3 linked regions of the Anolis sagrei genome follow. The protein of the gene in region 1 purifies or fractionates together with the protein of each later gene. This does not show direct contact. Links are inferred from orthologs where the notes say so. Each region holds a gene or a part of one and is shown in the gene's direction. Other genes may lie near its edges. The genes, in order: DCP1B, BAG4 and EDC4.

Region 1 (8,098 bases):
TTGTCTCACCCTTGCTCTTAACTATGATTTGTTTGTAAGTTGGATGTTTGTAACTTGGGGTCTGTATTATCTATGAGATCTACTTTTATTACTAATCTTAGCAGAGAAAAGGAACTGGGTTGCTGTCAGTTTTCCGGGCTGCCTGGCCATGTTCCAGAATCATTCTCTCCTGACGTTTCACCCACATCTATGGCAGGCATCCTCAGAGGCTGTGAGGTCTGTTGGGAACTAGGCAAGGGAGGTTTATATATCTGTCAAGTGATATATAAACTCTTGTCTGCTTGAGGCAAGTGTGAATGTTGTCCACCTTGATTAGCACTGAATAGCCTTGCAGCTTCAAAGACTGGCTGATTCCTGCCTTCCCAACAAAAGATTCCTCCAGGAATGATAGTAAATAGATAATAATAAGAAACAGAACTATTTAATATCTCTCAGAATATAAGTTTTTAACTTCATTTGTGTTTTTAAATACCCTCAATTCACTTCTCACATGATAAATAAATAGAATATATGATATTAATGCTCTAAGGATCTACGACGTTAAATAGATATAGACCGATCTACTTCATATGTTGGGATATATCATATTAATGCTCTAGGGAAATATGATATCAAATATAAAGAGATCTAGTTACCCTAAGGATATAATACACTGAATAGAGATACAAATAAAACACTAAGCTCTAGGGATATATGAGATGAAGTAGAAAATAAATACATAAACATAGATAGATCTACTTAACATTTCTAGGAATATATGATATTAAATAGGTAATAAAGCGATAGAAAAATCAAGATATAGACCCATTTAATATGTTTTGGGAATATATTGATGCTCTAGGAATATATAATAGATATGCTCTCGGAATATACGATATATATGCTTTAGAAATATATATTTAATAGATAATATATAGAGAGAAATATAGATAATCTATTTAGTATCTTATATATATCAATGCTCCAGGGATATACGATATTAAATAGATCTATCTATAAAGATATATGATATTAATTAGAAAATAAATACATACACATAGATAGATCTATTTTATATCTCTAGGAATATATGATATTAGATCAATATGCTCTAGGAATATTTTATATTAAGTAGGTAATAAAGAGATAAATAGATAGATAGAAGGACAGATCTATTTAATAACTCTTGGGATACCTATTGATGCTCTAGGAATATATGATATATAATGTATATGATCTAGGAATATATGACATATATGCTATAGAAATATTTAAAATATACTATAGAAATAAATATTAAATAGACAATCTATAGAGAGATAAATGTAGATAGATCTGTTTGATATCTCTTGGGATATATATTAATGCTCTAGGAATATAAGATATATAATAGCTATTCTCTAGGTAAATATTATATATATATATATATGCAATATAGAAAGATATGATATCCCTTGGGATATATATTAATGCTCTATTTCTATCCTAAAGAAATATATTATATTTCTTGGGATATATATTAATGCTCTAAGAATATAAGATATATAATATATATGCTCTAGGGAAATATGATATATATGCTATAGAAATATATGATACTAAATAGATAATATATAGAGAGACAAATATAGATATCTCTATTTAATATATCTTGGGATATATATATATTGATGCTCTAGGAATATATAATAGATAATAGATCTAGGGAAATATGATATATATGCTATAGAAATATATATTAAATAGATAATATAGAGAAAGATAAGTATAGATATATCTATTTAATATATTTTGGGATATATATATTGATGCTCTAGGAATATATGATATGTAATAGATATGCTTTAGGGAAATATATATATATATATGTTATAGAAATGTATAATATTAAATAAATAATATATAGATAAATATAGATAGATCTACTTAATATATCTTGGGATATATATTAATGCTCTAGGAATATATATCATACGCTATATATATATATAGATAGATAGAAATATATGATATTAAATAGATAATATATAGAGAGAGATATATAGAGATATCTATTTAATATCTCTTGTGATATAAATCTCAATATTCCCCAGGGATATTATAGATATCTCTATTTAATATCTCTAGGGATATCGGATATTAAATAGATATTTAATAGATATATAGAGGGATGGATCTATTCAATACCCCTAGGGGTATATTTTAGATAGGCAGACAGGACACAAGGCTCTAGGGATCCCTCAGGCCACCCCTTTCCCCTGCAATGGGCTTTCCCTCCCCTCCACCCGTCTCTTCGGCCTTGGAAGAGACCATTCCATCAGGGCGGGGATCCCCACTGGGTCTTTCCTTACCTATTCACCTCCCATTGTCCTCTTCCCTCCTCTGGCTGCCGAGAGCGGCCAAGCTGCCTCCTGCCTCCTCCTCCACACGCCCCCTCCCACCGCCCTCTGCCGCGGAGCATCCTGGGAGGCGTAGTCCAGAGCTCTTATCACTCGCCACGCTTAGATAAGGCGAGATTCCCATTGCCTTCCTTCGCGCTGTATTGTGGGTAGTGTAGTCACAGCGCCTGCGTTCTGTGCCCACACTGGGGCCTCTCTGAACTACAACTCCCATAGCAGAGTTGTAGGATATTAAATAGATGTATTTATTTGTCGTGTCAGAGCAGCCAGTCCATTATATTACATTTCTAACACAACAAAGCAAACAAACAGACAAAATACAAAACTTGTGAGTTTGGTGGTTGGTTAAATGTCCTTTGACCAGTATCTGGCCACTTGGAGTGCCTCTGGTGTTGCCGCAAGAAGGTCCTCCATGATGCATGTGGCTGGGCTCAGGTTACATTGCAGCAGGTGGTCAGTGGTTTGCTCTTCTCCACACTCGCATGTCAAGGATTCTACTTTGTAGCCCCATTTCTGAAGGTTGGCTCTGCATCTCGTGGTGCCAGAGCGCAGTCTGTTCAATGCCTTCCAAGTCACCCAGTCCTCTGTGTGCCCAGGAGGGACTCTCTCATTTGGTATCAGCCATTGGTTGAGGTGTTGGGTTTGAGCCTGCCACTTTTGGACTCTTGCTTGCTGAGGTGTTCCAGCAAGTGTCTCTGTAGATCTTAGAAAACTATTTCTAGATTTGAGTCGTTGACGTGCTGGCTGATACCCAAACAGGGGATGAGCTGGAGATGTCTCTGCCTTGGTCCTTTCTCTATTGGCTGCTACTTCCCGGCAGATGTCAGGTGGTGCAATACCGGCTAAGCAGTGTAATTTCTCCAGTGGTGTAGGGCGCAGACATCCTGTGATAATGCGGCATGTCTCATTAAGAGCCACATCTACTGTTTTAGCGTGTTGAGATGTGTTCCACACTGGGCATGCATACTCAGCAGCAGAGTAGCACAGCGCAAGGGCAGATATCTTCACTGTATCTGGTTGTGATCCCCAGGTTGTGCCAATCAGCTTTCGTATGATATTTTTTCTAGCACCCACTTTTTGCTTGATGTTCAGGCAGTGCTTCTTGTAGGTCAGAGCACGGTCCAGAGTGACTCCCAGGTATTTGGGTGTGCTGCAATGCTCCAGTGGGATTCCTTCCCAGGTGATCTTCAGAGCTCGGGATGCTTCTCTGTTCTTGAGATGAAAGGCACATGTCTGTGTTTTAGATGGGTTGGGGATCAGCTGGTTTTCCCTGTAATAGGCAGTAAGAGTAAGAAGTAAGAGCAGTAAGCAGTAATTAAATAGATAACATATATAGAGAGATAAATATAGATAGATGTATTTAATATATCTTGGGATATATATATATATATATATATATATATATATTAATACCCAAGAATATATGATATATAATAGATCTAGTATGTTAAATAGACATTTAATAGATCTATAGAGGGATGTATATATCTATTAAATATCTATTAAATGTATATATATATTAAATATATTATTATATTTAATACATTATATTTATATCATATTTAATATATTATTATATTAAATTTATTTATTTATTTATTTGCTTTATTTCTATACCGCATTTTTCAGCCCAAACAGGCGACTCAATGCGGTTTACATGGTACAAATTATCACAACAATGTCAGTGCAATTAAAATGCAACAAATGTAACAACAGGATCAACAACATCAATCCACAACAATTAACAAATCAACAAACAAAACAAAACAAAACATAGCGCCTCAGTGAAATCAGATCCGTTCTCATAATCCTTGTGCCAATCCTATATTCCATTTACCGTCTTCCTATGATCGGTTGCACTGTTTAACCAAACGCTTGTTCATAAAGCCAGGTCTTGACCTTTCTCCGAAACGCCAGCAACGAAGGTGCTTGTCTGATGTCTACCGGTAAGGCATTCCATAGCCGAGGGGCCACCACTGAGAAGGCCCTTAAATGTATGTATATATCTATTAAATGTATATAATATGATCAAGGGTCTGGAGAACAAGCCCTATGAGGAGCGGCTTAAGAAGCTGGGCATGTTTAGCCTGAAGAAGAGAAGGATGAGAGGAGATATGATAGCTATGTATAAATATGTGAGAGGAAGCCACAGGGAGGAGGGAGCAAGCTTGTTTTCTGCTTCCCTGGAGACTAGGACGCAAGGGAACAATGGCTTCAAACTACAAGAGAGGAGATTCCACCTGAACATGAGGAAGAACTTCCTGACTGTGAGAGCTGTTCAGCAGTGGAACTCTCTGCCCCGGAGTGTGGTGGAGGCTCCTTCTTTGGAGGCTTTTAAGCAGAGGGTGGATGGCCATCTGTCAGGGGTGATTTGAATGCAACATTCCTGCTTCTTGGCAGAATGGGGTTGGACTGGATGGCCCATGAGGTCTCTTCCTACTCTTTGATTCTATGATTCTATGTCTTGGTGATATTATTATTATTATTATTATTATTATTATTATTATTATTGATTTTAGGCCTGTGCTAGTTGCAGTGAAGCCTGGAGTGAGCTGAGCTGCGTTGCCAGGAGCAACCATCTCCAGCTTTTCCGTTTCGGCGCTCGATTGTTTGAGGCTGGTCCCCTTGCTTTTGCTTCTTCGGCAGCGTCAACAGAGGCCGATGATCGATCGATGTCTCGGCGTTCGGCTGGCATGCCTGGCGCCTCGGGTGTTGTGTTGCTCAGGGAAGCAAGATGGCGGCGGCGGGCGCGTCGTCGGTGGCTGCGGCGCTGTCCGGAGCCGCCCCGCTGGGGAAGGGGCTGGACATCAGCCTGGCGGCTCTGCAGCGGCACGACCCTTACATCAGCAGCATCGTGGACGTGGCCAGCCAGGTGGCGCTCTACACCTTCGGCCACCGCGCCAACGAGTGGGTGAGTGAACCCCAGGGAGAGAGACAGAGAGAGAAGGCCGCCATTGAGGGAGGAGAAGCCCAAAAGGGGCCGCGGCCCCTTTAACTAGAGTCATACAACCATAGAGAACACGTCAGCCATCTAGACCAAACTTGGGCCCTCCAAGTGTTTTGGACTACAACTCCCACAATTCCTAGCAGCCTACCGGCTGTTAGGAATTGTGGGAGTTGTAGTCCAAAACACTTGGAGGGCCTAAGTTTGCCCATGCCTGATCTACACCAACCCCATTCAGCCATGCAGGAGAAGCCCCATCTAAGCAGCCCTGACAGATGGCCACCCAGCCTCTGTTTAAAAGATTCCAAGGAAGGAGCTTGTACCTAGAATCCTAGAGTTGGAAGAGACCTCATGGGCCATCCAGTCCAACCCCATTCTGCCAAGAAGCAGGAATATTGCATTCAAATCACCCCTGACAGATGGCCATCCAGCCTCTGTTTAAAAGCTTCCAAGGAAGGTGCTTGTACCACACTCCGAAGCAGAGAGTTCCCCTCTTGAACAGCTCTTAGAATTATAGAATCAAAGAGTTGGAAGAGACCTCATGAGCCATCCAGTCCAACCCCCTGCCAAGAAGCAGGAATATTGCATTCAAATCACCCCTGACAGATGGCCATCCAACTTCTGTTTAAAAGCTTCCAAAGAAGGAGCTTCCACCACACTCCAGGGCAGAGAGTCCCACTGCTGAACGGCTCTCACAGTCAGGAAGTTCTTCCTCATGTTCAGATGGAATCTCCTCTCTTGTAGTTTGAAGACATTGTTCCGTGTCCTAGTCTCCAGGGAAGCAGAAAACAAGCTTGCTCCCTCCTCCCCGTGGCTTCCTCTCACATATTTATACATGGCTATCATATCCCCTCTCAGCTTTCTCTTCTAAACATGCCCAGCTCCTTAAGCCGCTCCTCATAGGGCTTGTTCTCCAGACCCTTGATCATTTTAGTCGCCCTCCTCTGGACACATTCCAGCTTGTCAATTTCTCTCTTGAATTGTGGTGCCCAGAATTGGACGCAATATTCCAGGTGTGGTCTAACCAAAGCAGAATAGAGCATGGGGAGCATGACTTCCTTAGATCTAGACACTAGGCTCCTCTTGATGCAGGCCAAAATCCCATTGGCTTTTTTTGCTGCCACATCACATTGTTGGCTCATGTTTAACTTGTTGTCCAGGAGGACTCCAAGATCTTTTTCACACGTACTGCTCTACCATCCAACCTCTGTTTAAAAGCTTCTAAAGAAGGAGCCTCCACCACTCTCCGGGGCAGAGAGTTCCCCCGTTGAACAGCTCTTACAATCAGGAAGTCCTTCCTAATGTTCAATATTTTCTCCTGTCATTTGAACCTATGGCTCCAATGAGTCTTAGTTTCAAGGGCAGTGGGAAAAAGCCTGCTCCTTTAAGAAAAACATGAGATCTGGGTTGTTGTAGGTTTTTTCGGGCTATATGGCCATGGTCTAGAGGCACTCTCTCCTGACGTTTCGCCTGCATCTATAGCAAGCATCCTCAGAGGTAGTGAGGTCTGTTGGAACTAGGAAAAAGGGTTTATATATCTGTGGAATGACTAGGGTGGGACAAAGGATTCTTGTCTGCTCGAGCTAGGCGTGAATGTTTCAATTGACACCCTTAATTAGCATATAAGTTGATCTTAAAAACTTTATTTCAAAGCCTGCCTGAATAAAAAGGTAACCTGCTGTCTGAAGGACAGGGAAGAGGCCGTTCTGGCTTCCTTGGGCAGAGAGTTCCAGAGTTGAGGGGCAGCCACTGAGAAGGCCCGCTTTCTCGTTCTTAGCTCAGTGCTAAGGAATCTTGGGATATGCTGTTTTTTTATACCCCACTTTCATCTTTAGATTGGGGGTTGTAGTTTTACAGGGTCTTTAATCTTTTGTGTCCAAAAAGTGCTGGTACCTCACCAAACTTCAACTCCCAGGGTTCCATAGTAGCGAGGCATGACTTAGACCACAAGCAGAGAATGAGTCAATGGTGTAATGTGGCAGCTAAAAAGAATTGCAGTGCAATTCTAAACTAGATCACCAGGAAGATCTGGTTTTAGTGGTTCCCAACCTTTGGGCCTTCAGGTGTTTTGGACTTCAACTCCCTGAAATTCTAGCCAGCTTACCAGTTGTTAGAGCAGGGGTCCTCAAACATTTTAAACTGTTGGAGGGCCGGATTATAATTTGAAAAAAACATGAATGAATTCCAATGCACACTGCACATATCTTATTTGTAGTGCAAAAAAAAAAAACCATTTAAAAACAATACAATAATTAAAATGAAGAACAATTTAAACAAATATAAACTCATTAGTATTTCAGTGGGAAGTGTGAGCCTGCTTTTGGCTGATGAGATATAATTGTTATTGTTGCTGTGTGCCTTCAAGTCATTTCAGACTTAGGTTGACCCTGAGCAAGGGCTGGGTAAATGACCTTGGAGGGCCGTATCCGGCCCCTAGGCCTTAGTTTGAGGACCCCTGTGTTAGAAAATGTGGAAGCTGAAGTCCAAAATACCTGGAGGTCCAAAGGTTGGGAATCACTGAATGAATTCAAGTCTCCAGGGCCAAATGAACTAGATCTAAGAGTATTGAAGGAACTAGCAGAAGTGATTTCAGAACCACTGGCAATAATTTTTGACAATTCTTGGAGAACAGGAGAAGTCTGGATTGGAGAAGGGCAAATATTTGGGGGAAGAGGACCCAAACAATTACTGTCCAGTCAGTCTGACATCAATACCAGGAAAAATTCTGGAGCACATTGTTAAGGAGACAGTCTGCAATCACTTAGAAAGGAATGCT
Region 2 (6,974 bases), on another chromosome or scaffold:
GTAGTTGAAGTTCACCTACATCCAGAGAGCACTGTGGACTCAAAACAATTATGGATCTGGACCAAACTTGGCACAATTTCTCAATAAGCCCAAATGTAAACACTGGTGGAGTTTGGGGAAAATAGACCTTGACATTTGGGAATTGTGGTTTCTGGGATTTATAGTTCACCCACAATCAAGGAGCATTCTGAACACTACCAATGATTGAATTGGGCCAAACTTCCCACACAAAACCTCCATGACCAACAGAAAATACTGTGTTTTCTGGTGTTCTTTGGTGACCCCTCTGACACCCCCTTGTGACCCCTCCAGGGGTCCCGACCCCCAGGTTGAGAAACACTGTTCTAGAGGCATTTCTCCTGATGTTTCGCCTGCATCTATGGCAAGCATCCTCAGAGGTAGTGAGGTCTGTTGGAATTAGGACAATGGGTTTTTATATCTGTTGAATGGCTGGGGCAAAGAGCTCTTCTCTGCTGGAGCTAGGTGTGAATGTTTCAACCAACCATCTTCATTAGCATTTGAAGGCCTGGCTGAGCCTGGGAAAATCTTTTGTTGAGAGGTGTTTAGATGTGCCTGGTTGTTTCCTCACTGCTGTTTTGCTGTTGTAATTTTAGAGTTTTTTAATACTGGTAGCCAGATTTTGTTCATTTTCATGGTTTCTTCCTTTATGTTGAAACTGTCCACATGCTTGTGGATTTCAATGGCTTCTCTGTGTAGTCTGACATGGTGGTTGTGAGAGTGGTCCAGCATTTCTGTGTTCTCAAATAATATGCTGTGTCCAGGCTGGTTCATCAGGTGCTCTGCTATGGCTGATTTCTCTGGTTGGAGTAGTTTGCAGTGCCTTTCATGTTCCTTGATGCGTGTCTGGGCAATGCTGCTGCGTTTGGTGGTCCCTATGTAGACTTGTCCACAGCTGCATGGTACACGGTAGACTCCTGCAGAGGTGAGAGGATCCCTCTTGTCCTTTGCTGAACGTAGCATTTGTTGGATTTTCTTGGTGGGTTTGTAGATAGTTTGTATGTTGTGTTTCCTCATCAGCTTCCCTATGCGGTCAGTGGTTCCCTTGATGTATGGCAGGAACACTTTTCCTCTGGGTGGATCTTCATCTTTACTCTCGTGGCTTGTTCTTGGTCTTGCAGCTCTTCTGATGTCTTACTTACTTAAGCAATCCCTCATTGGACGAGTAAGATGGTCTTCCTTGATGACTATTTTTGTGGATTCGTAGGTGGCTGTGGAGCCCTATTCTTGACCCGCATCTTCTCCCACAGTGAAGGCATTGGTTTCCAGGTGGAAGGCGGTCCTGGTCAGGGTTGGCTTGACGCGCCTTCCTCCTGGCACGTTTCTCTCTTTCGCCCTCCACTCGTGCCTCCTCGAATTCTGCAGCACTGCTGGTCACAGCTGACCTCCAGCTGAAGCAGTCAAGGGCCAGGGCTTCCCAGTTCTCAGTGTCTATGCCAGAGTTTTTAAGGTTGGCTTTGAGCCCATCTTTAAATTTCTTTTCCTGTCCAGTTGGTTTGTTTTTTCATTTTCTTTGGAAGACGCCTGTGCGTGGGTTTTTTTTAATGTGTGGAGGTCAGTGCACAACTGATCGACACACAGTCTTCACAGAGTGAGGTTCCACTGGTGATGTAGTTTGACACAATAACCGTGGCTTCTCAATCTGTTGCAGCCTTCTTCCGCCTTCACAGCCGTTGTAACATGTACCATGTTATCCTCTGCCTGCTCCGCCGTTGAGGTCTTTGAGTCTTCGGACTGTGCTTGGTCTGGAACCTCCCCTGCGGCCACTCCTGGGAGTGCACGATTCCAGTCGTTGTGCCCACAGGTTCATTGGAACACGCAAGCCCCCTCACCACGACAAGGTGACAGTCCATTGAGGGGACCTACAAGTCACTCTAAACACCTTTGCAGAAGCATATGAGAAACTCAGCCTGTCACTGAACATCGAGAAAACCAAAGTCCTCTTCCAGCAGTCACCGGCCAACCCCTCTCCAATGCCAGAAATACAGCTTAATGGTGTAACATTAGAAAAAGTAGACAATTTCCGCTACCTTGGCAGCCCTCTCTCCACAAAAGTCCACATTGACACTGTAATTCAACACCGCCTGAGCTTTGCAAGTGCAGCATTTTTCTGAATGAAGCAGAGAGTGTTTGAGGACATCCGTAGGGATACCAAGGTGCCCCAACTCTGGCAGTCTTTAGGGTTTTATATTGCTGACGTGCTACTTATTATGGCATTTAAAATGTCTGTATTAGAGTCTAAGTTGTATTGTCGGCAAAATCTATAGGGGTTGCTCTCGAAAATGTGCAGGATGGAGTTGCCTAGGTTGATTGACCACCGTATTCTCCATTCTCCAACATGGATTCTGAAGTTCTAAACAGGCAACAGAAAGTCCTCGATCTTTGCAAAGGCTGGCAGATGGAACTCCAGCTGTGCTGCAATGATTTCACACTTTGGTCCTTGGAAAACTAGAATCTCTTCCCAAGGTCCAGGGCACCTTGGCCAGGCTCTTCCCTGAAGTCCCATGGGGGAACCGCATCAAGTCCCCGGGTCCAGAGCTTGGCAGAGGCGAGAGGCAGCGAGGAGCGATGAAGCAGCAGCCATGGAACCAGCATATTTGGCAATCAGCTGTTTCTAATAAAATATATTCTCAAAACTTGAGAGGTTATTTCCTGAGCGTAGGGGTCCAAAATAAGAAAAGTGAGATGGCAGACAAGCTTAGAATTTAGTGCAGAAAAATAAGACATTAAAATGGAGCCGATCCGCCATTTTGTGGATATGGAGATCTGAAAGGAAAAACTCCGTATCCGCGGTTTCAAGCGGCGTGGATTCGGCGTCCCCGGAACGCCAGGAAGGCATTCCGGGCAGGCTCGCAGTCCCCCGCGGCCTGGAAAAGGTTGAATTCATGCATTTAGTTAGTTCAGGCAAGAAGTGACACAAAGTATCAAGCTAGAAAGTTAAAAAGTTGCAATTTCAAGTATCTTTATTAGGGGAATAGTTACAATGTTAGGGCTTGGGGAAAAGTGATAGAAAGGCACAGAGGCTTGGTACAGTCCCTGTTTGAGCTGTCTGTTGGGGCACATTTCTTCAGTTTGTTCCAATTTGGGCTTCCAGGAACTGCGGAACTCTCCGCTGCGGGTCAGACCAACTTGAAGGTGGGGGTCTCCACTGCCCTCGATGACATCAGGTTGAATCATGTTCAGATGAAATCTCCTTTCTTGTAGTTTGAAGCCATTGTTCCACGTCCTAGTCTCCAGGGAAGCAGAGAACAAGCTTGCTCCCTCCTCCCTGTGGCTTCCTCTCACATATTTATACATGGCTATCATATCTCCTCTCAGCCTTCTCTTCTTCAAGCTAAACATGCCCAGCTCCTTAAGCCGCTCCTCATAGGGCTTGTTCTCCAGACCCTTGATCATTTTAGTCGCCCTCCTCTGGACACATTCCAGCTTGTCAATATCTCTCTTGAATTGTGGTGCCCAGAATTGGACACAATATTCCAGGTGTGGTCTAACCAAAGCAGAATAGAGCATGGGGAGCATGACTTCCCTAGATCTAGACACTATGTTCCTCTTGATGCAGGCCAAAATCCCATTGGCTTTTTTTGCCGCCACATCACATTGTTGGCTGTCCACAAGGACTCCAGAGTTGGTGACATTGTGATAGTGACTCAATGAAACCTCTCCTGGAAAAGAAATGATGTATTTGGGACACATTCCAGGTTTAAAGAGAGCTCTTTAAGGGTGACTCCAACTTTGCTATTGGGTCAAGCTCAATTGCCTTCGACAATACCTCAAGCTCATCTGATTGGGCCCTATCCAGATGACGTCACCGTTCCGAGCCAGCACTGAGTCCTCAACATCCGGGAATGCCGCAAAAGGTCAAACATGGCGAGAGAGAGAGATCGTGCGCGCGGGGGGAGGAGTGGGCGGGGCGACGACTGTGATTGGCTAAGGCCGCGCTCAGCCCGCGCAGGCGCAGTTGCTTCTTCTCAAGAGGGGTGAGGAGTAATCGCTTCGAATGGCGGCCGCTCTGAGGAGACTGTTTCACGGGCCCGACGTGGAGCGTGTCCGGCCTGAGCCAGAGCCCCCACCGCCGCCCCCGTGGGGAGGAGATGCCCGCAGGTGCCCGCAGCATGGCGGCGAGAGGACGGCTCGGGGTGGCGCCCAGGTAACGGCCTTTCCTGACTGGGTGGCATCCGGGCACTTTCTGACCCTCCTTTTGGTCTGCCAGGGTTGGGGGCTGCCAAGTGCGCATGCGCTAGGCCGCACGCTTGCATCCTCGCGTTGGAAGAGACCTCAGGGGCCAGCCAGACCAACCCCGTTATCCTGCATGGCAGGAAAAGCACCAAACAAGCCCTCCTTGCAGGTGGCCACTCAGCCTCTGCTTACAAACCTCCACCACGCTCCAGGTCAGGAAGTTAGTTCCTAAAGTGGAGGTGAAATAATAATAATAGACAACAAAAGATTGCTCCAGGCACTGCCAGGCAATCATAAAATAAAGAGTTGGAAGAGACCTCATGGGCCATCAAGTCCAACCCCATTCTGCCAAGAAGCAGGAATATTGCATTCAAAGCACCCCTGACAGATGGCCATCCAGCCTCTGTTTCAAAGCTTCCAAAGAAGTGTCAGAGTGAGACCCTCCGGTCTGGCACAGCGAACTTGAGGTTTCCAAAACACACAGACTCAATTACCACACAGCATTCTTCTTCGGTTTCAAAAATAATAAGCTTTACTGGAAGCATCTATTTACAGGCGACTACATATTGATGAGGAAAGATGGTGACTGACAAAGTACAGGACTAAACACACAGACAAAGAAACATCCTGCCCTTCGCCTTATCTGTCTTCTAGCTGGTTGACTCCCTTTTGTTCTCAGGACTGTTATCTCAGTCTCAAGGACTTTACTCTCACTGCCTCTAGTGACTACAATTCTAGCACACAGCTGAACATAACTGAATCCATTATTAACACATTGAAAAACATACATAAAATAACTGCAATTATCCTGACAAGAAGGAGCCTCCACCACACTCCGGGGCAGAGAGTTCCACTGCTGAACGGCTCTCACAGTCAGGAAGTTCTTCCTTATGTTCAGATGGAATCTCCTCTCTTGTAGTTTGAAGCCATTGTTCCATTGCGTCCTAGTCTCCAGGGCAGCAGAAAACAAGCTTGCTCCCTCCTCCCTGTGGCTTCCTCTCACATATTTATACATGGCTGTCATGTCTCCTCTCAGCCTTATCTTCTTCAGGCTAAACATGCCCAGCTCCTTAAGCCGCTCCTCATAGGGCTTGTTCTCCAGACCCTTGATCATTTTAGTCGCTAATCAAATGCTAATCAAGGTGGTCAGTTGAAACATTTGCACCTAGCTCCAGCAGACAAGAGTCCTTTGTCCCACCCTGGTCATTCCACAAATATATAAACCCTTTTTTCTAGTTCCAACGGACCTCACTACCTCTGAGAATGCATGCTATAGATGCAGGCGAAACGTCAGGAGAAAATGCCTCTAGGCCATAGCCATATAGCCCGAAAAAACCTACAACAACCCAGTGATTTTGGCCATGAAAGCCTTCGACAATACATTGTTGTGGTTTTTTTCTCTCTCTCTTCTTTCTCACTTTTTTCTTCTAAATGGTTTTTATTTTATTTAACTTTATTTATACCCCGCTACCATCTCCCGAAGGACTCGGTGCGGCTTACAAGAGGCCAAGATCCAACACATCAATAAAACAACAGCATAACAAATACAACAATAAATGAACTCATAAAGCAAAGCAATAAACATTAAAACAATAACAATAAGCAACACCACGACACATTAAAAACTGAGGCCGGGCCAAATGTAATAGATAAATGCATCTAGAATATGGCCATATAGCTCGAAAAAACCTACAACAACCCAGTGATTCCGGCCATGAAAGCCTTCGACAATAATAATAATAATAATAATACTTTTTTTATTTCCCGCTACCATCTCCCCAAGGGACTCAGTTCAGCTTACATGAGGCCGAGCCCACAATACATCAATAAACAAGAGCAATAACAAAAACAATCATTATAATACAATTAATATAAATAATAAACAAATAAAACAATTAACAGTAACACAAGCATTTAAAAACCAATAGCCGGGCCAAATGTAATAATGTAACATTTAAAAAATAATGCTCGGCATGAACAAGGTAGGATATAACTGGTATAGGGTTTTCAAAAAGAGACGTGGGAACGCAGTCAGTCCTAAATCAAAAGTGCATTTTGAGGGCGTATTGCAGAGAGTTTTCCTTATTCTGGGAAGGCACACTGGAACAACCATGTTTTCAGGCTCCTCTTAAAGACTGCCAGAGTTGGGGCTTGCGTAATGTCCTTGGGATGTGAGTTCCAGAGTTGGGGGGCCACCATCGAGAAGGCCCTCTCCCTCATTCCCACCAATTGCGCTTGCGAAGGAGGTGGGAGCACGAGCAGGGCCTCTCCAGATGATCGAAGAGATCGTGTAGGTTCGTACACAGAAATGCGGTCACACATAATAATAATAATAATAATAATAATAATAATAAAAATAATAATAATAATAACAACAACTTTATTTATACCCTGCCACTATCACCCCAAGGGGACTCGGGGCGGTTTACATAAGGCCAAGCCCAGCAATACAATACGTCAATAATAAAACATAGCAATTAAATGGAAGAAATAAAGATAAAAAATACAATACAAAACCATAGTAACTAGCACGTTGACAATATAAAATCGCAACCATTAAACACAGAACAAACATTGTGGGCAGGGCCAATTCTAATAGATCAAAAATTCAAAACACTGTGTGTGACAGGAGTGTAATGTATCTGGACAGGGAATCCAGGGTAAGGTAGAGTGGATTGCACTAACAGGAAAAATAAGGTGCTTCCGAGGGGATTTTGCAAAAATTGGTCAGGTCAGGGGATTATTGTTCATTCATTCAGTGAAGGCACACTGGAACAGCC
Region 3 (7,237 bases), on another chromosome or scaffold:
AAGCATGTCCTCTGAACAGCACCAGATACATGCAGCTGTGATTCAACAGTAAATGTGAAGATTCTTCATGGAAAAATAAGACATTCCCTGAAAATAAGATCTAGTAGAGATTTTGCTAAATATAGGGCCTCCCCCGAAAGTAAGACCTAGCAAAGTTTTTGTTTGGAAGCATGTCCTCTGAACAACACCAGAGCATGCAGCTGTGATTCATCAGTAAATGTGAAGATTCTTCATGGAAAAGTAAGACATTCCCTGAAAATAAGATCTAGTAGAGATTTTGCTAAATATAGGGCCTCCCCCGAAAGTAAGACCTAGCAACGTTTTTGTTTGAAAGCATGTCCTCTGAACAACACCAGAGCATGCAGCTGTGATTCAACAGTAAATGTGAAGATTCTTCATGGAAAAATAAGACATTCCCTGAAAATAAGATCTAGTAGAGATTTTGCTAAATATAATTCCTCCCCCGAAAGTAAGACCTAGCAAAGTTTTTGTTTGGAAGCATGTCCTCTGAACAACACCAGATACATGCAGCTGTGATTCAACAGTAAATGTGAAGATTCTTCATGGAAAAATAAGACATCCCCTGAAAATAAGATCTAGTAGAGATTTTGCTAAATATAGGGCCTCCCCCGAAAGTAAGACCTAGCAAAGTTTTTGTTTGGAAGCACGTCCTCCGAACAACACCAGAGCATGCAGCTGTGATTCAACAATAAATGTGAATATCCTTCATGGAAAAATAAGGCATTCCCTGAAAATAAGACCTAGCAGATCTTTGGGAGGAAAAATTAATATAAGACACTTATTTTGGGGAAAACAGGCTATATATTCTTTGCACTGATGCTTCTGCGTCCTTATATTTTCATGGTGGTGTTTCCTCACTCAGGGAAGATGCACGTGACTGCTACTTTTCCCAGCAGGGAAGCATCTCTGAACAACTATGGCTGGATTTACATTGCCATATAATGCAGTTTGAATCTGTACAGTATGGTCAGTGGAGACCTATGTAACGCAGGTGAACTGCATTGTATGGGTCTACACCAGGCATGGGCCAACTTCGGCCTTCCAGGTGTTTTGGACTTCAACTCCCACAATTCCTAACAGCCGGTAGGCTGTTAGGAATTGTGGGAGTTGAAGTCCAAAACACCTGGAAGGCCGAAGTTGGCCCATGCCTAGTCTACATTGCCCATATAATTCAGATTCAGTATAGATTCAGCTTATGGCCCTGCTTGTCAGTGGTGTTGCAGACCAGTTTTGGAAAGTTGTTTGGCAATGAGGCTTAATATGTGTGTAGACTTCCTTTGAGATAGTCCCAATGTTTGTGGGATTTATTTTCAACCTTGTTAAGATTGACAGCATTTTGGTCTTCGAAGCAAGTGACAGAAAGAAGAGGTTTTTCTCCCTGCAAACTCACTATTAGGACTATTAGGACCCAGGTGTCTTTGGTGCAAACCTCAAATGACTTCGCCTTGTTTGAATGTTGGAGGAAGGAAGGCAGTCCATCTTTCTGTGTTTTGAACTTATTGTATTGGCCTTAATAAGAGCAGCGTGTTCAACAGCCATATAGACACAGAATGCCTTACAAAAGGTGAATTTCACAGGGAACACGTTTTGTTTCAAAGGGGCCCTGGCTCATTCTTTTTGATGGAACAGCTCAGGGGAGAGCTTGTCCTGCTCACGTGACCTTCAGCCTCTGAATAACGGCATGCGCTATATGGTCTTCAGAATAATTTTCCTACTTTTTTGAGTGCTGGGAGCGACTTGAGAAACTGCAAATTGTTTCTGGTGTGAGAGAATTAGCCATCTGCAAGGACGTTGCCCTGGGGACGCTCAGATGTTTTACCATCCTGTGGGAAGCTTCTCTCATGTCCCCACATAAGAAGCTAACAGATGGGAGCTCACCCCGCTCCCCGGATTTGAACCGTCCCGTCTCTAATCTTCCATTCTTAGGTAAGGTGATAGAGCGGCCTGTATTGTGACAATTGCAGCAATTTGTGGATGACACAGCCGGCTTGGACCCTTTCCACTCAGGTTTTTGCCCGGGCGGAGATGGTCCTGGTTGCCATTACGGATGAACTTCGTCGCCAGTCTGATAACAGCGGATCAGCGCTTCTGGTACTTCTCGATCTTACCGCAGCGTTTGACACCGTTGACTACGATTTAATGATCCACCGTCTCGCCATGTCCAGAATTCGCGGTCTTCGAAAGTTCCCCCTCCTATGCGGGGTCCCCCAAGGTGCCATTGTCTCCCCTCTTCTCTTCAACATCTCCGTGAGACCCCTTGCCAGTTTGGCTCAGAGATTCGGCCTGGACTGCTCTCAATATGCGGATGACACCCAACTCCTTTTGCGCTTGGAGCCTGGAGTAACGTCAATACCTGACAATGTCACCTTCTGCCTGGAGGCTTTCCGGGGAGAGGTGGATGAGCTCCCTCTACCTGCTCCAGCTCCTCATGCGGGGACATGAGAGGAGCCTCCCACAAGGATGGTAAAAGATCAAGACATCCTAGCATTGTCCCCTGGGCAACGTCCTTGCAGACGGCCAATTCTCTCACCAGAAGCGACTTGCAGTTTCTCAAGTCGCTCCTGACACGACAAAAAAAAAAAAAAAAAAAAAAAAGCCCCCCACCCTTTGTGTTTGATTCTTATTATGTTATTTTGCACTGTCTATTTTATTATGTTATTTTATGTATTTTGCTGTGATGTAATTTTTCTGTTGTTTTGTGCCTAATTATGCTGTAATATTCCAGGGCTTGGCCTCACGTTAGCCGCCCCGAGTCCCCTATGGTTATAAACAAAGATTATTGTTGTTGTTGTTGTTCTCTCCCTTGGGAAAAAAAATCTGGCTACGAAAACCCCATGGTGGGGTTGCTGTAAAATTAGCCCTGGCTTGGAGCATCTTCCCAGAGCCAATGATGGGTGTAAGGCCCCTTCTACACTGCCAGATAATCCAGATCATCCACATTATCAGTTCTGAACTGGACACTGCCAGATAATCCAATTCAAAGCAGATAACCACCTGGATTTTCAAGGAACATGGAAGGCACTGCAGGGTAATTCAGCCAGAGAAGTCAGCCATAGCAGAGCACCTGAGGAACACACCTGGACCCAGCAGATTATTATTGGAGAACCCAGAAATGCTGGACCACTCTCACAACCACCACGTCAGGCTACACAGAGAAGCCTTTGAAATCCACAAGAAGCATGTGGACAATGTATTGTCAAAGGCTTTCATGGCCGGAATCACTGGGTTGTTGTGGTTTTTTTCAGGCAATAGGGCCATGTTCTAGAGGCATTCTCTCCTGACGTTTCGCCTGTATCTATGGCAAGCATCCTCAGAGGGAGTGAGGTCTGTTGGAACTAGGAAAATGGGTTGATATATCTGTGGAATAATGACCAGGGTGAGACAAAGGACTCTTGTCTGTTGGAGCTAGGGGTGACATGAAAGGAGGAAACAATGAAAATGAACACAATCTGGCTACCAGTATTAAAAAAACTCTAAAATTAAAACAGCAGAACAGCAGAGGGAAAACAATCAGGACGTCTAATCACCTCTCAACAAAAGATTCCCCCAGGCACTGCCAGGCCATCAAATGCTAATCAAGGTGGTCAGTTGAAACATTCACCCCTAGCTCCAACATACAAGAGTCCTTTGTCCCACCCTGGTCATTATTCCACAGATATATAAACCCTTTTTTTCCTATTTCCAACAGACCTCACGACCTCTGAGGATCTAATCACCTCTGAACAAAAGATTGCCCCAGGCACTGCTAACCAAGGTGGTCAGTTGAAACATTCACACCTAGCTCCAGCAGACAAGAGTTCTTTCTCCCACCCTGGTCATTCCACTTTCCTACTTCCACCAGACCTCACTCCCTCTGAGGACGCTTGCCACAGATGCAGGCGAAACGTCAGGAGAGAATGCCTCTAGACCAGGGGTCCTTAAACTAAGTCCCGGGGCCGGATGAAGACCTCCAAGGTCATTTACCCGGCCCTGGGTCTGGGATCTGGGCTGGGACCAGATCCTGGGATACAGAGCCATGTATTCCCAAAAAATATCCCGGTCTCTCTCCAACCTTCCGGGGAGGATTCCTGCGCCAAGCGCCTGTTTGGAAGCGGAACTCAATGCGCGGGGCTGCTGTTGGCGGGGGGAAGGAGCGGGAAGCACGGACCGGAAGCGGAAGTGGGCTGCGCGTCGGGGTTTGGCCTACCTGAGTCGGCGCGAGCGGCAGAGGCGGAGGCGGCGTGTGTTGCGGAGGAGGGCGGCCGGGCGAGGGGTCTCCATGGCCTCGGCCAGCATCGACATCGAGGATGCCACGCAGCACCTGCGGGACATCCTCAAGCTGGACCGGCCCGCAGGTGAGGAGGCCCAGGCCGGCGGGAAGGAGGGACAACGCCAGGCCCCGGCTTCGCGGCCTAGCCTGGAGGAGGGCGCCCCGGCCGGAGAGGGAGCCCCAGCGCCCCTGAGAAGGGCCTGGGCTGCAGGAGGAGGAGGAAGCCCCGCTCCAGTGTCAGGCCCTTTGGGAAGCTGGGCCCCTGCTGCCATTTTCAGCGCCCATTATTATTATTATTATTATTATTATTGGGTTGTTGTAGGTTTTTTCGGGCTATATGGCCATGTTCTAGAGGCATTCTCTCCTGACGTTTCGCCTGCATCCATGGCAAGCCTCCTCAGGTAGTGAGGTCTGTTGGAACTAGGACAATGGGTTTATATATCAAGAATGATGCCCAGGGTGGGACAAAGAACTCGTGTCTGTTGGAGCTAGGTGGGAATGTTTCAACTGACCACCTTCATTAGCATTTAATGGCTCGACAGTGCCTGGAGCAATCTTTTGTTGAGAGGTGATTATATGGAGAGGGAGCCCAAGCGCCTCTGACAAGGGCCTGGGCTGGAGGAGGAGGAAGCCCCGCTCTAGTGTCAGGCCCTTTGGGAAGCTGGGCCTCTGCTGCCATTTTCACCACCCATTATTATTATTATTATTATTATTATTGGGTTGTTGTAGGTTTTTTTGGGCTATATGGCCATGGTCTGTAGGCATTCTCTCCTGACGTTTTGCCTGCATCTATGGCAAGCATCCTCAGAGGTCGTGAGGTCTGTTGGAACTAGGGAAAAGGGTTTATATATCTGTGGAATAATGACCAGGGTGGGACAAAGGACTCTTGTCTGCTGGAGCTAGGTGGGAATGTTTCAACTGACCACCTTCATTAGCATTTAATGGCTTGACAGTGCCTGGAGCAATCTTTTGTTGAGAGGTGATTATATGGAGAGGGAGCCCAAGCGCCTCTGAGAAGGGCCTGGGCTGGAGGAGGAGGATGAGTCGTGCTTTTAGGCTGCCCGTTGAAGCCAAGTACCGAGCTCTGAGCGGCTGGGAGGAAGCCCCGCTCCAGTGTCAAGTCCTCTCCTGCTGCCTTTTTCTGCCCACAGATAGTCAGCACCCATTATTATTATTATTATTATTATTATTATTATTATTAGGTTGTTGTAGGTCTTTTTGGGCTATATGGCCATGGCCTAGAGGCATTATAGCCCGAAAAAACCTACAACAACCTAGTGATTCCGGCCATGAAAGCCTTCAACAATACATGATTATTATTAAGTTTTTTCCTCTCCCCCGCCTTTCTCCCCATAGGGACTCAAGCTGGCCAACAACCCCACAATCTGTTGTCGAAGGCTTTCCTGGCTGGAATCACTGGGTTGCTGTGAGGTTTCCTTGCTGTCTGGCCATGTTCCAGAAGCATTCTCTCCTGACATTTCACCTGCATCTATGGCAGGCATCCTCAGAGGTTGGGAGGTCTGTTGGAACTAGGAAAATTGGGTTTATATATCTGTGTTAAGTCCCAGGTGGGAGAAAGAACTCTTGTCTTTTGGAGGCAAGAGTGAATGTTGCAATTGGGTTGTTGTGAGGACCTCACTACCTCTGAGGATGCTTGCCATAGATGCAGGTGAAACGTCAGGAGAAAATGCCTCTATAACATGGCCATATAGCCCGAAAAAACTTACAACAACCCAGTGATTCCAGCCATGAAAGCCTTCAACAATACAATGTTGCAATTAATCACCTTGATTAGCATTTGATGGCCTGGCAGGTTTTTGGCTACTCTAAAATTATTATAGCAAAACAACACCAACACACACGGTAACTCCAGAGAGGAAACAATCAGGGACAGCTAATCACCTCTCAACAAAAGATTCCCCCAGACACGAACAAGCCACACCAAAAAAACTGCCAGGCCATCAAATGCTAATCAAGGTGATTAATTGCAACATTCACCCTTGCCTCCAACAGACAAGAGTTCTTTCTCCCACCTTGGACATCATTCCACAGATATATAAACCCAATTTTCCTAGTTCCAACAGACCTCACAACCGCTGAGGATGCCTGCCAGAGATGCAGGCAAAACGTCAGGAGAGAATTCCTCTAGACCAGGGGTCCTTAAACTAAGGCCCAGGGGCCGGATACGCCTCTCCAAGGTCATTTACCTGGCCCTCACTCAGGGTCAGCCTAAATCTGAAATGACATGAAAGCACACAACAATAACAAGCCTATCTCATCAGCCAAAAGCAGGCCCACCCTTCCTCTTGAAATACTAATAAGGTTATGTTTGTTAAAATTGTTCTTCATTTTAATTATTGTATTGTTGTAATATGTTTTTTGCACTACAGATAAGATATGTGCAGTGTGCATAGGAATTCATTCATGTTTTTTCCAAATTATAACCTGTCCCTCCAACAGTTAGAGGGACTGCGACCTGGCCCTCTGTTTAAAAAGTTTGAGGACCCCTGCTCTAGAACACGGCCAGTTAGTCTGAAAAAAAACCTACAACAACTCAACCCCACAATCTAATACCAATCCCATTGAAAACAACTCACATGTTAAAAATAAATATTACAGCGTAGCTATAGAGTTAAAATACAATTCAATATTAGTGCGTGGATAATAGACTTTAAATACAATACATGCAGTTCAATATTAGTCAGTAGGCACAGAGTCTAAATACAATGACCTTTTAAAGATTAGGAGCCTACTAGTACGTGTAAGATCTTCTGGTGAGGCCCTGATCTCGGTTCCACCTTCTTCACGAGTGCAACTGATGGAGATGAGAGACAGGGCCTTCTCAGGGGTGGCTCCTCAACTGTGAAACTCTCTCTCCAGCAACACCATTATTTATTTATTATTTATTTACCGTATTTATATCCCGCCTTTCGCAGCCCGAAGGCGACAGGCAGGCCCCATCGCTTC

What was found.
Region 2: the proteins of DCP1B (region 1) and BAG4 purify together in Homo sapiens (affinity purification with mass spectrometry; 3 studies listed by BioGRID and IntAct, counting the BioPlex papers as one, with this or other methods). This does not show direct contact. The link is inferred for Anolis sagrei from reciprocal best matches to the Homo sapiens genes DCP1B and BAG4.
Region 3: the proteins of DCP1B (region 1) and EDC4 purify together in Homo sapiens (affinity purification with mass spectrometry; 3 studies listed by BioGRID and IntAct, with this or other methods). This does not show direct contact. The link is inferred for Anolis sagrei from reciprocal best matches to the Homo sapiens genes DCP1B and EDC4.

What each region holds. Positions count from the first base shown.
Region 1 is NC_090025.1:190,160,904-190,169,001, forward strand, and holds the start of DCP1B (mRNA-decapping enzyme 1B), read left to right. Parts: upstream 1-5,057; 5' UTR 5,058-5,071; coding exon 5,072-5,289; intron 5,290-8,098. UniProt on the Homo sapiens protein: May play a role in the degradation of mRNAs, both in normal mRNA turnover and in nonsense-mediated mRNA decay. May remove the 7-methyl guanine cap structure from mRNA molecules, yielding a 5'-phosphorylated mRNA fragment and 7m-GDP.
Region 2 is NC_090027.1:10,444,699-10,451,672, reverse strand, and holds the start of BAG4 (BAG family molecular chaperone regulator 4), read left to right. Parts: upstream 1-3,964; 5' UTR 3,965-4,015; coding exon 4,016-4,165; intron 4,166-6,974. UniProt on the Homo sapiens protein: Inhibits the chaperone activity of HSP70/HSC70 by promoting substrate release. Prevents constitutive TNFRSF1A signaling. Negative regulator of PRKN translocation to damaged mitochondria.
Region 3 is NC_090028.1:44,202,835-44,210,071, forward strand, and holds the start of EDC4 (enhancer of mRNA-decapping protein 4), read left to right. Parts: upstream 1-4,160; 5' UTR 4,161-4,279; coding exon 4,280-4,355; intron 4,356-7,237. UniProt on the Homo sapiens protein: In the process of mRNA degradation, seems to play a role in mRNA decapping. Component of a complex containing DCP2 and DCP1A which functions in decapping of ARE-containing mRNAs. Promotes complex formation between DCP1A and DCP2.